Oryzias latipes: one gene and its partner. The protein of the gene in region 1 interacts with the protein of each later gene in a pairwise test. Links are inferred from orthologs where the notes say so. Each region holds a gene or a part of one and is shown on either strand. Other genes may lie near its edges.

The links.
Region 2: the proteins of ercc6l2 (region 1) and cell cycle regulator of non-homologous end joining interact in binary tests that used the Homo sapiens proteins (3 or more experiments, as listed by UniProt). The two-hybrid records come from large-scale screens. The link is inferred for Oryzias latipes from reciprocal best matches to the Homo sapiens genes ERCC6L2 and CYREN.

What each region holds. Positions count from the first base shown.
Region 1 is NC_019867.2:8,857,237-8,859,930, forward strand, and holds the end of ercc6l2 (DNA excision repair protein ERCC-6-like 2), read right to left. Parts: intron 1,908-2,694; coding exon 869-1,907; 3' UTR 583-868; downstream 1-582. UniProt on the Homo sapiens protein: Promotes double-strand break (DSB) end-joining and facilitates programmed recombination by controlling how DNA ends are joined in a spatially oriented manner during repair.
Region 2 is NC_019864.2:20,239,963-20,243,570, forward strand, and holds cell cycle regulator of non-homologous end joining, read right to left. Parts: upstream 1,954-3,608; 5' UTR 1,859-1,953; coding exon 1,758-1,858; intron 1,660-1,757; coding exon 1,575-1,659; intron 1,373-1,574; coding exon 1,046-1,372; 3' UTR 649-1,045; downstream 1-648. UniProt on the Homo sapiens protein: Cell-cycle-specific regulator of classical non-homologous end joining (NHEJ) of DNA double-strand break (DSB) repair, which can act both as an activator or inhibitor of NHEJ, depending on the cell cycle phase.

The DNA of each region.
Region 1 (2,694 bases):
ATTTACAAGCTTCAATTATATTGAATTAATTTACATAAACCTTCTGTGAGTCAGAAAAAAGCAACACCTGTTCTTATTTTTTTGAATTTCAGTAAAAAAAAAAAAAAGAGAAGAATCCATGAAAAAAATGGTTTATGACAGTTAAAACCTTTCAGGTTTAGTTGATAAATGAAGTGTGAAAATCTGTAATTTATTCAAATGCAAAAGCCTAAAAGATGACGAATGTCAGAACTGGAAAAGTGGGTTTAGTGCCAAAACAACCAGTCCAGATGCTCAAAGGATTTAAACAGTATTTTTACACTTTTTTTTTAGTTTATTTTATAAAATTAAACAAAAGTTACCAGGATATATATAAAAAATAAACTTTTACAATTAATTAATTAAAATTCTCTAAAACTAAGGCCAGGTTTTGTAGTTTCTTTTCTACTTTTAGATTTTCAAACAAAATAATTACATTAAAACGGTTTTTACAACGACTTTATTTTGAAAAATTATTATATCATGACGTAGTAAAAAAAAATGAAACTACATATAAAACCGTTGCCTCCAGAAGCCAAACCTGGAAAAAGCAGGAGATAATAATCAGATTAACAAACAAGTTTTATTAAAAAATATAAAATTTCCTTAGACTCAGCCAAGGTAAATCTTAAAATCTCGGGTTAATTACAATTTTTTATTGGATTGATAATGATTGCTTTCCTAATGAATCGTAAACTAAGCAAATGGTGTAAACAGTAAAATAAAAAAATTCCAGGGTAAAACCTAAAACAATAAATACGTTAAAAAGAAAATATTTCTAGACAGGATTTCTTTTCACATTTCTGAAAACAGGTAACACAGAAAAAGCCAAAAGCCTTTCAGTAAAAAGTTAAAGATCTCCTTTTTTCCACAGGAACTTTTCATTCGTCTTCCAGAGACTCTTGCTCTCATTCTGTCCAGATTTCCTTCTGGCTGCTAGGTTGGTGTCGATACAAACTCTCTGGACTTCTTCTGGGTCTGTTAACCTGTTGATGCTCTCCTCATTGCCCTCATCCAGGATGTCCCATATGTCTCTGCGGGCTCCCTTTGGCGCCCGCGGCGGTCTGTGGACCTGCTCAGCAGTGCAGGGGCTTGAATCAGGATCGCCTGCTTCTCTTCCACCTGAAGGAGTTTTAGTCAGCTGCTGTTCCACCTTGGGTTTTGGTTTCAGTAATTCATCCAGAATGGACGTATCTCCTACCAGGTCGGTTAGAAAGGAGAACTTACTGGAAGTCCGGGTGGGTTTATGCTCCAGCTCGCCTTTCAGTGCCGCAGGGTTGGATGCTACGGCAGAGCTGAGGTCAGAAGAAGAAGGTGAATTTCTGTCTGTGCGGTTCAGGACAGCAGCAGCCGCCACGGACCCCAGACCACTGATGATGGCCTGATCCATGCCAGGACCACCCCCTGCTCTGTGGGCTCCAGAGCTGGAAACATTAGCTCTCTTTGTCCTCTTGGGTCCTCTGGCAGGGCAGACCTCCTGGTCGGTTAAGTCGGGGCTTGAAATGTTCGCCAGAGTTTGTAGTGCTTTCTTTTGTCCTTTCTTTTGCTTTCTGGGAGGTTCAAGGCCATCGTCTTTCTGGACGTCAGATCTATTTTGTGGCACAGAGACAGTATTTTGTAAACTTTGAGGTTTAGCTCCATCATTCTTGAGTCTTTTCCTGTCCCTCAAAGAGTCCTTCTGCGGGTCTTTTGGGATTGATGAAGAGGTGGCAGATGAGGTGGAGGAGAAGTTTTCTGTTATAATATTAGCAAGTTCAGGATGATTGAAGGACGTGTAATACTGTCGCAGCCATGCCAGTCTGTCAGCTGAACTTCTTTTCAGGATTTCTTCAGCAAACTGATGGACTGAGGCAAACGTGAACTTCTGTGCCATTTCCATTAGTTGTAACCTGGAGGCAAAGGACAATGACACAAAGAAAAGAGAGAAAAAGAGCTTTGTTTCAAGACAAATGGTCTGTCTTGCAAGAAAAACAACCGTATCAAGAGAGTTTTTCAATGGCAAAATATAAACAAATGTATTTCTTAAAATAAGAATTCTTGGTAATTTTACTTACCATTTTTCAGACATCCAATCTGGATGAATTACTGAAAGCATTTTTCTTACCCCATTGGCAGATTTTTTTTTGGCTTATCTCTGCCAAAATACCAGATTTTTTTTACTTATTTCTAATGGACCTGTTTTTGCAATACAGAAAGCCGTGACCCAGCATTATAAACCTGATAATGCTGAGTTACTTTAACCTTTATTAACACGGGCAAAACCAGCACACAATGGATTGGAATAAGTCATTAAAGTCTCACTCCAATCATCTTTTGATCCATTTTAAAAGCGTTCCCAGTGGTCTTTTAATCAAGGTTATGCCGTTTATAAATCAAAATAAATAAATATGTGTTGTTGTCTAGGACATAGTTTCTGCAGAGCTGTAGTAGTATGTTAGAAATTCACCTCTCAGTTGTGGGTGGGACCACAACCCTGCCCCTCTTCCCGTCACCCATAATTTTGAATATCCAGCCGTAACGTTTTGAGCCAGGTGCCAGCTCGGACGGGGAAAACAAAGACATACGTGGATCTATTTGTCTGCAAGTGGATGGATCGGAATGGACGCGAGCAGGGAGCTTGTGGCCCGCCCAGTGTAGCGTCTACGTCACAACTACAATCATTTTCCCAACGGCATT
Region 2 (3,608 bases), on another chromosome or scaffold:
AGGCACGCGGGCGGTCTCCAAAAGTGAATGAACAGCAGAAAACGTCTTACCCTCCCAATTCATACAGCTCTGACTCTCTTCCATTTTGTTTACTTAAGAGGGGAAATAGTTTAATTTAAAAAAATAGTTTTTGAATAAAATCTTATTACATAGGTTTAATGTAGTGTTTCAGCTGTTTTTTTTTTAAAGCTGAGTATTTATAGCAGGGCTCTCAAGCTTATACATACTGTAGATGTTCCTATAAACACTTTAGTGGTGTGGTCGTCATGAACTGCCCTACGGTGGGTGATACTGAAGCTCTCCTGGTGGAGCAGATGTTTGTTCTCAGTTTGGATTGTTCTTTTGTGTCCATACTTGGCCTTTTTTTTAATCGTAGATCTGGTTCCCACACATAGTATCAGACTGCTAACTAATGATTTGTTGTGATTGTCCATTCTGTGTTATTAATGAAGGAGGGCTTTCGTGTTATAACCACAACAAATACCACCTTAGTAAAAGGCTTTTTCATAATAGTTTCACTATATGTACAACCGTTTCCCCCCTGACTTACACTTGACTAAACAAATAATTTTACACATAAGTTGATCCAACCTAGTTAAATATGAACATTTTGATAAAGGCTGTTTTTTTCACACAACAGGAGGCCAATAACCGCAAATGTTCTTTATTAGAAAGTATCTGAGTCATTAGGGTCATCACAGCTGCCATGACTTTCATTTTCACAAACTAAAAAAGTACCAATATGCTTTTATTCATAAGAGAGGTTTTTTCTGCAGTAACCTCATGAGATCCCATGAGGTTTTGTATGTCATGACCATTAGGAAACAAGCCAAGTTAATGATGAAGAATCATTAAAAACTACAGGAAGTCTGGAGTTCTATTGTATTTTAAGTTTGAAGTCAATTCTGATAGTAAGATATTTTTTAAACTTAAACTTTAATGTGAAATAGCTGTCTTTACATTAAGATACCTCAATATTTTCATGACATGTTGAGGATTTCAGTTTACTTTTACCTTAAAGACATTTTATTTACAACAACAGTGATCAGGTGAAAAAAATGTCCCGCACAAGTTGTAAGGCCTCGTCCTCTTGATGTGCTGCATCCTCTGTTGGTTTCTCCTGTTCTCCCTCAGCTTCAGCATCGGCGTTCCTCACAGTCCGTTGATTCTGGTGTGACCTCTCAGCCTCAGGGCTCCTGGTGTACGGCAGCGTTTCCACTTCTGTGACGTCCAAGTCCGTCTCAGAAACATAGGTCGTCTCCGGGTAATCGCAGCAGTCCCAGTCTTTTTCCTCTGAAATCTGCTTTAATCTTTTGGGTGACGTCAAAGGGTTCTTTACTTTTTCTCTTGCGTTGCTTCCCTTTTTAGAAATCTGTGTATGAAAAGAAAGTATTTTCAAACTCTTAACAAAAATAGTGACTATTTATCCATGAGAATTAAGTCAGTATGCTCAATAAATAAAAGCAGAATTTTTAAAGAAAAAAAAAATCGATTCACTTAATGTATAGATGCAGCCCCAACGTTGGAGTTACAGTATTTCAAAGTATTATTATAAAAGGGGAAAGCAGCGCCACCTGTTGGTGAATTGGGGAACCGCTGGTTAGACATCGAACAGCTGCTTCGACCAGCTCGGCCTCATTCATGCAGTAGAAAAGCACCCTGCAGTCAAACCAGAGTGTATTATTCAAAAGTGAAACAGAATATTTGGACATTTTCACTGCAGGAAATATTCTATTCTGTGTTATTTCTCTCACTACCTCGCAGCTTTTCCTTTTCTTTGACTCTTCAGAGGTGTCGTCTTCTTCCTCACATTTTTGTTTGACATCCAAAGAGGCAGCGCGCGCTGCTTCTCTGACATCTTTGGATGTTTTACCTACGGTCTAACGAGGTTTCCATGCATACAAAAACCTCATGAAACCGGAAACAGGCTTTTATCGCTAAAGTCACATGACAATGTTGATGGTCTCATTACCGCCCCCCAATGGAGTTTTGCGGGACAACCACAGAAAATACTTGTTGACAGAAACTTGTTATGACAATTCTGGGGATACTTACAAAACAGTGGAAATAACAGCATTTAATGGCTATTTTAATGACTCACATTTAAAAATAAATTGATTTCCAATTGTATTTATTTATCTCCAATTTTAAATGACTAATGGTAAATTTATTTAATAATTTCCTATTAAATGTTTTTATTCCAATTTGTGCCTTTCAGCCCACACTGGACTATGAAATATTTAAATGTGGTTTTCAATGGCTATTTTAATATTTGAATGAATGCCACATATATTTAAACATTTATTGATTGATTTTCAATTTTAAATAATTAATTACACGTTTATTCAACAGTTTAATGGCGTGCATATTTATTTTACTTTGTCTCTTCTGGTCCTCCATACTTCTCCTCCAATATTTGTTTTTATTCAGTTGGGAGATCCTCTGCTGTAAAACTGTTTCTCATAAGAAAAAAGGCGAAGAACTATTTAAATATCAAATTACAGGCAAACAGTCAAAACAACATAAATTTCAGAAAAATTTAGTGTTGCTCTGATCTGTGTAACTGTCAACATTAAGCCTGACTGATTTTCTTTGGTAAAAATTGGTTTAATTTTAGGTTAGTATATGAGAAGTGAGTAAGTTGTTTCTTTCCTATTTTTATTTATGTATTTAATTATTTAAAGTGCCATAACCCATTTTTAAAACCTTGGACCACTTGTTCAACAAAAACATTCCATGTCAAAATACTTTTATAAACTGAATATTTAACATTTTTGTTTTAGAAAATAGATGTTTTCAAATGAAATTAGTGTGGGTCAAAAACTTACACAAAGTATGAGTAAACTGATAAATACATGCAATGTTTTGATTTCTGCAGTCTTTTTCCTGCTTCCTAAGAAAACCCCAGCCATCTTTGTGACTGCAAGCAGAATGTGTTGCTATAGAGAAGAACGGCTGTGTGAGGTGGCTGTGCATCTTATTCCTGCTGGTCAAAAGTAGATAATCCAAGTGTGGTTGCACGACACTATTCTCTCTTTGCTCCTCTCTCCATGTCCCAATCACTTCCTAAATCCTCTAATACTCTGGTCAACCATTTTTATGTATCTATTTTTGTTACTAGCAGGTTAAGATTTCAGATTCAGTAATATTCCACTGATTTGGAATATCATCTTTTTTCTCATGATCTCTGCCACTCTGACAAAAAACACATTTCAAGGAAAAAGATGAGAATTTATGTCATCATATTTTTTTCTACATAAACAACTTTCTATGATGAAAAGCAACGATGGGAAAAAGATCTCACCTTTGGTTGTTCTTGACATAAAAATTGTCGTCTCTCGTCAGGCCTTTAATCATCTTTCTGAAGGCATTTCTACAAGTGCTTAGGCCTTGATTGCAAAGAGCAGCTTTGGATAGTTGACTAAATTAAAAACGGGATTGAAGGAGGGTGGGAAAGAGAGCTCAAGGGAAATGACATGTTATGAGCTCAACTTAAGATTCCCAGAAGCTCAAGAGTTCAGTGCACTTTAGGAACAACAAATGATTAGAAGTTTTAAAAAAAATCAAATCCTCTAAATCTGCACGGCAGCGCCGTAGTCAGCGCTCTT